Mus musculus: one gene and its partner. The protein of the gene in region 1 interacts with the protein of each later gene in a biochemical or structural test. Links are inferred from orthologs where the notes say so. Each region holds a gene or a part of one and is shown in the gene's direction. Other genes may lie near its edges.

Evidence for each region.
Region 2: the proteins of Birc3 (region 1) and Ube2v1 form a complex in vitro, tested with the Homo sapiens proteins (2 studies listed by BioGRID). The link is inferred for Mus musculus from reciprocal best matches to the Homo sapiens genes BIRC3 and UBE2V1.

What each region holds. Positions count from the first base shown.
Region 1 is NC_000075.6:7,870,371-7,874,659, reverse strand, and holds the start of Birc3 (baculoviral IAP repeat-containing protein 3), read left to right. Parts: upstream 1-1,489; 5' UTR 1,490-1,525; coding exon of another isoform or gene 1,526-1,670; 5' UTR 1,671-1,837; exon of another isoform or gene 1,838-1,973; intron 1,974-4,289. UniProt on the Homo sapiens protein: Multi-functional protein which regulates not only caspases and apoptosis, but also modulates inflammatory signaling and immunity, mitogenic kinase signaling and cell proliferation, as well as cell invasion and metastasis.
Region 2 is NC_000068.7:167,629,206-167,633,290, reverse strand, and holds the start of Ube2v1 (ubiquitin-conjugating enzyme E2 variant 1), read left to right. Parts: upstream 1-1,285; 5' UTR 1,286-1,329; coding exon 1,330-1,351; intron 1,352-4,002; exon of another isoform or gene 4,003-4,021; coding exon of another isoform or gene 4,022-4,085. UniProt on the Homo sapiens protein: Has no ubiquitin ligase activity on its own. The UBE2V1-UBE2N heterodimer catalyzes the synthesis of non-canonical poly-ubiquitin chains that are linked through Lys-63.

The sequences.
Region 1 (4,289 bases):
TGTTGCTCTCACAGGTGTGATTCTGCTCTCAGATAGAGGCTTGAAAGTAGGTGGAAATCTCTATATGATCACAAACGAAGTTCTTCTACTAGAGCTCCTGTTGGAACTGTGGTCCCTCTCAGCTGAGCCCACAATAAGGCATTTTATCTCTAGATTGACCAGGGCAGGTTTCTCACCGCTAGATTATGTCTCCTTAAGTCTGATGCTAATTGGCTGAAGATGGAGGAAAGCAGACAAAGTTTCTCTGTGTAGCCTGGCTGTCCTGGAACTCACTCTGTAGATCAGGCTAGCCTAGAACTCACAAATATCCATCTACCTCTGCCTCCTGAGTGCTGGGATTAAAGGCATGCATCACCACTGCCTGGCAAGAGTCAAGTTTTTACAAGAACATTGATATAGCTAAGCACCTTCCCTTGAAAGAGAAAAAGCTAAAAGAAGGAATTTTGTTTTTCTAGATTTATTCATCCTGTTTATAAAACAAAATTTGACAAGGAAAAACTAAACAAAAATACAAGAAAAAAAAAACCACTAAAACAGATCAGGACAAAAAAAACAAAACAAAACAAAAACCCCAGACTTTTAAAAAAACATATTTTTAAAGATTTATTATTATATGTAAGTGCACTGTAGCTATCTTCAGACACACCAGCAGAGGGAGTCAGATTTTATTACAGAGGGTTGTAAGCCATGTGGTTGCTGGGATTTGAACTCAGGCCTTTGGAAGAGCAGTCAGTGCTCTTAACTGCTGAGCCATCTCTCTAACCCTTTCAAAATATTTTTTAAAACGTATTTATATATTAAATATGTGTACAGGTGTTTTGCCTCACGCCTGTGCGAATACAGGTGCAGTGCCTGAAGAGGCCAGAAGGCCGCAATGGATCTCCTGGAACTGGAGTTACAGATGTCTGTGAGCCATCTTGTGAATGCTGGGAGCAGAACCTTGGTCCTCTACCAGAGCAGCAAGTACTTTTAATTGCTTAGCCACGTCTCCGGCCCACAATCACACCTTTCAAATACAAGAATCAGTGTGGTTCTAGCATTTTTAAAAAACAAAGTCTTACTATGTAGCCCAGGCTGGCCTGGAACTCACAGAGATCCTCCTGCCTCGGCCTTCTGAGTGCTGGGATTAAAGGCATTTGCTGCTACCCGCAGCTGTAGTTCTGATCTTTGAAATAATAAAAATAACCTGAAATTGAGATCCATACGTGTTTTGTTTTGTTTGTTTGTTTGTTTTTAACAAATGTTCCTTTCAGCTCTCTTTCTTGATAAAAACAAAAAGTGAAACCAGAGACTTTTACAGAGTTACTCGGGTTTTTTTCCTCCTAACGTCTTACTTTTTTAACTTAGCAGTTATATTCCGGACAGTTGTGGCTCTTTTTTTACAGTGAAGGACTTGGAGGCTGCAGGAGGGAAGCGCGGTGAGGGTGGGGTGGGGATAGGCCTCTTAAGGCGGAACTCACAGGCTGCACATCTGTTTTCAATGTTTTGTAAGAGCCAAGAGCCTTCAAGTAAAAACTTTCAGTAAATGACACGAAGAGGAGCTGGGTCCAGGAAGTCACGCACAGAAGAGCCACGGAAATCCCCAGCCAGGGTGGCCACCAAGGGTGAGGAGGAAGTGCGTCTGGTTTTCACCCTGGAGTTCCCCGGAGCCCTGGAGGAAAGCACCGCAGGTCTGAGCAGCCCTGAGCCGGGCAGGGTGGGGGCAGTGGCTAAGGCCTAGCTGGGGACGATTTAAAGGTATCGCGCCACCCAGCCACACCCCACAGGCCAGGCGAGGGTGCCACCCCCGGAGATCAGAGGTCATTGCTGGCGTTCAGAGCCTAGGAAGTGGGCTGCGGTGAGTACGCGCGCGCGTGGGGATCCAGCCAGGGTCCCCGTAGTGGCTCGAGGATCACCGGGGTGACTAGATCCGAAGGAGAACCTGCAAAACCCGTTTCTATGCATCGGTGGTCCTGCGGGAGGGCGACCTACAGGTTGGCCACGCTGACCCTGGCTGCCCCCCCTCCCCCCACCCCCTCCCCGCTTGCGGGAGCTCGACTTTCTGAGTCTTTTCCGGTCTCTGACTTTCTGAGTGAGGCGTAGGTGCCGAGAAGTTGCATTTTAATTAGGCTGCTGCGGGAGGCATCTGGGAGACTTGACACAGTGAGAACTCTGGCGTCTAAGGATGAGCTTGTGGAAAGCTCATGGTTGTTTTCTTGGTGGCCAGCTCAGGAAAACACTACAGCTCTTTCTTTTTTTTTGGGGGGGGGGGGGTGTTTCGAGACAGGGTTTCTCTGTGTAGCTCTGGCTGTCCTGGAACTCATTCTGTAGACCAGGCTGGCCTCGAACTTAGAAATCTGCCTACCTCTGCCTTCCAAGTGCTTGGATTAAAGGAGTGATGGGTGTGTCAGAGACCATTTCACACTATAGCTGACTGGGGCTTTGAACTTCGGAAAAATCCTCCTGCCTTAACCCCTTCAGTGCTGGGATTATAGGCCTGAGTCACTGTACTCAATTTCTCAGCAGTGCTCTTAATCTAGCCGGTAAATCTCTGGAGTCGTTTCTGTCTGCCCCAAGCCAGGTTCTGATCATCCGTTGTAAAAAGCAGGTGCCATTACTATCCCCTTTTCGCACCTAGGAAACTGAGGCACGAGTGGCTTTTCTTAGTCTCACTATGGAGCACTGGTTGGGCTGGAACTGGATAAGTAAACAGGCTGGCTTTGAACTCAAGGAAACACTGACGTCTACCCACCTCTGCCTCCAGGGTAATGGGATTAGGGGCGTGTCTGGCCACTTGGTGGTTTTCTTGCCCAACATTACACTGTTGGTGGAAAAGGGACTGACTCTCTTGAAATCCTGTGATGTGAGACTCCAGAGCATGGGAGTAAATTGCCACGAGGTCAAGTTAGCAGTAATAGGGGGAAATTAACAAATGAAAGTGCCATGAACATGCTGGGCACAGCCAGCTGTGCTAAGAAATTCTTCCATGCCAGTGTTTGCTGGGGTTAGTAGTGCAGGTCTGTAATCTTAGCACTTGGGAGGTGGAGGCTGAAGGATCAGGTGTCCAAGGTCAGTCTGGGCTGTGTGTCTCACACAACAGCAGCTAGGCACTGTAGCTGCAGCTACTACAGAGGTTAAAGCTTATTTCCTATTCTGTAGGAGATATGGTCCAAGGTGGAGGGAGGAAGATGGCACAGCTAATTGCTCCAGAGGGTGGGGGCACACAATAGTCTCTGGGTCTACTGGACATGGTAGTGTAAGCAGAGAAGAAACTGGGGTGCCAAGCTCATCTATAAGGAACCACTGGAAAGAAAGAGGGCTCCTACACACTGATGTGGACTAGGGCAGGGATCAGAACAGGCCTAAGAGGAAGCAAATTTTATTTTATGAGTATGGAGAGGGAAAGGTGCTGGCACACGGACTGGCTGTCTGTGTGGAAATGTGGTTCATAAACAAATGTTCTGCCGGCTTGCCAGACTCAGGAGTGGCTGGAGTAGAGACTTCAGCATTACTGTATAGAGGGACAAGGACCCTGCGGGGTTTGAGGAAATATGAAGAAGAGTCCTTCAGAGTAGTAGGAGGGCCCATGAAGGGGCACTTGTTTCTCTGAGGTGGCCAATAGACCTGTGAACAGAGGGCAGGCAAAGGAAGGCAGGCTGAGGGCCTCACCTAGTGAGGAACGGAGCCAGCTGAATGAAACAGTGATCTTGGAAGGACTGAGGGTTATTTCTACAAATTCGGCTCAGGATGTAGAGAAAACAATTGCGTCTGTTGCTGGGGACACAAACTAGTCTAACCTCTAAGGAAATCAGTGGAACAGACCCTCGAAAGGTTGAAAACAGAACCACCATAGGACTGAGCTCTACTGCTCCTTGGCAGGCACATGGAGGAGTATACCTGAGTACCCTGTCACTGCACTGTTCCTGTGAGGACACACCATGGCCAATACAACTTATAAAGGAAAGCATTTAACTGAGGCTTGCTTACAGTTTCAGGGGGAAGTCCATGATCACCACGTGGCAACATGCAAGCGGGTGCTGGAGCAGTATGTCTTAGTTAGGGTTTTACTGCTGTGAACAGACACCATGACCAAGGCAACTCTTATAAGGTCAACGTTTAGTTGGGCTGGCTTACAAGTTCAGAGGTTCAGTCCATTATCATCCAGGAGGAACACACTGGCATCCAGGCAGACATGGTGCAGGAGGAGCAGAGAGTTCTAGATCTTCATCTGAAGGCTGCTAGTAGAATACTGGCTTCTGGACAGCTAGGATGAGGATCTTAAAGCCCACACCCACAGTGACACACTTACT
Region 2 (4,085 bases), on another chromosome or scaffold:
CCTCAGTGTATTGTGCACTCACCCTTCCCAGTTTACCTAGAGACCTGGTTCCCTCTGTTCTGTGGGACAGACTCCTAGGCTGGTGTGCATCTTCTGCAGGACGGTAGTTCTGAGCTTACCACGTACTTCCTCAAGAGGAAATGCAGTGGAGCTACCTAGAATACACCAAACAGATGACAAATGGAATGTTCCAGGAATGTCTCCAGCTTCCTTGCCCCTCTGCTGTCCCTCTTAGCAGTATAATCTGCAGCCTATCTGGCTACTTCATCCTCGATTTCCAAGTCCCCTTAAGGGTTTCACATCAAAGGTGGCTTTGTGATGGGTTTACTCTATATGCAGACAAGTGTCTTCAGACCTTTGCAGGAGGCCTTTTCTGATTCTTCCTGGTGCCCTTTATAGGTTTGTCCCCTATCTTATCATAGGTAAAATGTATATTTATCTATTTATATTGGCTTACTTGTTCTCTGTCCAACTAGAATGTAGCAATTGAGAAGAGAATCTCATTTCGTGGAGACATTGCCATGTCCGGCACCAAGCACAGTTCTCCCACATAATTCCATCTCTAAGAAGAACTCTAAAACACAAGCCTGCAACCCCAGCATGAGGCAGAAGCCGAAGAATCAGACAGCCAAGGTCATCCTCTGTATAGTGGGCTCTTGGACAGCTGAGTTGAGAGCATGTCTCGAACAAAACCCCTAAACAAACAAACAAACAAACAAACAAGCAGAATGCATGTCTCAAGGTTGGTGGTTCTCAAGCCCCTAGCTGCACCTTGTCCCTACATGCTTCAGGCCCCAGAACAGCAACAGTGCCGGAAACAAGATTGTACTGGCCCACAATTTGACGCATTCAGGCCTTTCGGTGTTATTTTTCTCCATATACCCCATAACAAAGATCATCTGGCTTGGGGTCAAATTCTGACTCAGCTACTTAGCAGTTGAGTTGAACTTCATCTCTCGCGGTTTCATTTTCGCTACGTGGTGAGGACACAGGGGGACGGAAACAGCCTGGGAACAGGCGCGGGGCTCCACAGCCCTTCCCCCCCATTCTATTCTCCCGGAAGCGCACGGTCACCCCGGGGCCCTCGAGCCGAGCACCTGCACGCCTCCCCCGCGCTCGGGCTGGGCGGGGCTTGCAGGTTGCCCCGCCCTCATGCTCGCTCACTGAAGACTCGGGCAAAGCCCTTCCCGCCCGGCTCCTGCGACCCCGAGCGGGCGTCAGCGGCACCGTTTGCGGCTGCGCCTACACCTGCGCCTGCGCACTAGCGCCCGGAGAAAAACTCAAGGGGGGGTGAAGAAGGGGCCGGCCTTCGAGCGACAGCGACGCAAGATGGCAGCCACCACAGGCTCGGGTGAGCGGGGGCGCCGGGCGTGCTGGCGGACGGGGCGCGGGCTCCCTGGGCTTGGTCCCGGTCTAGCGGAGGCCATGGTGGCCGGGACAGGGCTCCGCGCTGTCCCTGCGGCTGCGTTTGGCTGCTCGGCCGGGCCTGGGACCATCAGGCGGCGGCCGGAAGCCCGGGCGGGGGCAGCCGGGCCGTGGGCGGTGCGGCCAAGCCGGAGGCTCGGGCGCCTCCGGGGGGCGGGGGGTGGGGGAGAGGCCGGCAGAGGGGCCGAGTGTGCTCGGGAATGCCCGGGCGAGGTCCCGCTGGGAGCTGGCCCGGGCGACTGGGAGCCGGGAATGCCCGGCGGGGGTACGCGGGCGCAACCCTAGGGAACACGCACGGAGCCTCGCGGGCCGCAGGCGAGGCCGCCGGGGCCCCGCGTCAATTTAGGGTCGGGGCTGCTCTCATCGTGGTGGTCGCTTCCCAGGGAAATCCGGGCACCTGCACGGGCTGAGCCCGGGCGTTCTGCCGTGGGAGCAGGCCTGGGTTGCAGAGACCAGGGATAGGTTTCAGAAGGCGCGCTGGGAGCCGAGCGCCGCGTTGGATGGGCACGAGCAGGTGCCTAGGAAGCCCTGGTGTGTGTGTCGGGGGGTGGGGTGGGGTCTGTTGGGGCGTGTCGCCATTGGGAAGGCTCCTGCAGTGGGGAGAATGGGATGGGGTGCAGTCCCGCAGATGCTGCTTTTAGAGAAGAAAAACCTCTTCCTGCGGGGAGCGGATGGAGGAAGTGCCTGTCACTCCTAATCCTTCTGCGAATTGGGGGAAAATATGTGGGTTCAACTCAGAAACTCTCCATTATCTGGATGGGTAGGAGAGGAGCAGTGAAATGAGAGCCCTTGGATCAAATGGAAGGGATAGCAAGAGGGTAAAGGGGATGCTCTTAGGGGAGAAGCTCTTGTCGGTCTCTGATGGGCTAAGAAGAGAAGGCCAGATGGGGAGACCCGAAGGGTCTGCTGCCTTAGAACCGGCAACCTGTACTTGATTATGAGCCATGGACTCTGGCAGGCTAGAGAAGGTGGAGTGGGTTTGGTGAAGGAGATCCCCCGGGGTCTGGGAAGGCATGGGAGTCTGCTTTTCCAATGAAGGATTCAGGAGAGAGTGGGTGCTCCCTTCTGGTGTGGGGCTATATCCTCGGGAGTCTGTTGGTGGAGGTGAGCAAGGGGTAAGGACAGGCCACCAGCCTAGGCACTGGTGTTTTGGGGCTGTGAGGCCACCAGAGGAGATGTTGTGGGGTGGGAAGCAGAGAGGTGCTGCCTGCAGTGACCCACCACACAGTGCCTGGTGTGTCCTGGAGAAGACTGCGGAGCCAAGTCAGTCCATTTCCTGACAAACACATGGCGGTGGGCACTTGGGAAGACCCAGTCTGCCACAGGCTGTACTGGGGTGGGATGCAGGGTATCTCGCAGAGAGGTGCCAGGCAGCCAGTACTGGGGTGGCCCTACCAGTCAGCACTGCTTGTCCTTGCTTTAGGACATCTCAGGATCCGGTTTGACAGCCACTTCTAACTTCTGAGGCCCTGCCCGTGCCTCAGGAGTGCAGATAGAAACAGCAGCTCAGCAGCAGCTGCTGTGTACAGAATCCAGAAGAGTTTGGGCTGGGTGAGGCTCAGTGCTAGAGTGATCTGACCAGCAAGTCGGAGGCCCTGGATTCCATCCCTAGCTCCATGAAAAGAAGGAAGCGCACATAGCACAGCTTAGATAGCATAGGAAGGCTTTAGGGAACCCAGAAACAGGCGTTCCTCAGCGCCTGTCTAGTCCACAGATGGTTCCTGGGGCCTCTTGTGTCCTGTTACTAGTAGCAGACAAGGTAGACAGAGCACTGTCTTTAGGTTTCATTCAAACCAGACAGAAGGCCATTCAGGATGGAAATAAAGTGACTCCAAAAAGCAGGAAGTGCTCTGAAGAAAATTGTGTGCTGTGATGAGCGAGTCTGATGAGGAGGGGGCAGGCTTCTCTCAGGGCCAACCCTGGAACTGAGACCAGTGGTGGGAAGAGCAAGGCCTGTGGCCGTGGGAAAGTACCATCGGTGCGGTGGGGACACTTGTGTTGAAAGATGAGATTAAAGGCCATGGGGCAGTAAGGTGGCCCAGCAGACAAAAGGCCCTTGGCGAGCCTTGGGACCTGAGCTTGATCTCCACATGGTTGGAGGAAAGAACGGCTTCCACAGTTGCCCGCCGCCCTCCACTTGTGCCCCTCCCGTAACAAAGGACCTTAGTAATGAGATGGAGAGAGAAGACTTTGGGCTTTACTAAGTGCAAGGGGGAGCCATGGAACAGATGCCTGCTATGAGCAGCATTGAGTGTTTGGTTGATGAATGAATGAATGCCTTGAAGAGAATGATGAATGGTGAGCTCTGACTTGAGCCCCAAGGCATCAGGAGACTGCAGTGGTGAGAGTGGAAGCAGGACCTTCGTTAAACTTGGTGCTTAGTCTCCTCTCCCTGCTACAACCTTCAGGTGTGCTCAGGCCTTGGGCCGCCTGTAGACTGAGCCTGGTCATTAATCTGTGCCCTGGTTACCAGGAAACCACTGTGTGGCCTTGGAGTCCTGTGACGCCCAGCTCAGGTGGTATGGTCACTGCTGCTGGCATCTTCCCACATTGTTCGCTGTTGTAATTTTGGCGCAGGTCTCAGAGAGGAGCTGAGATGAGCCCACTACAGCCACTCAAGATGTCTACAATTGAAGGGACGTCTCTCCTGTGTGTCCAGG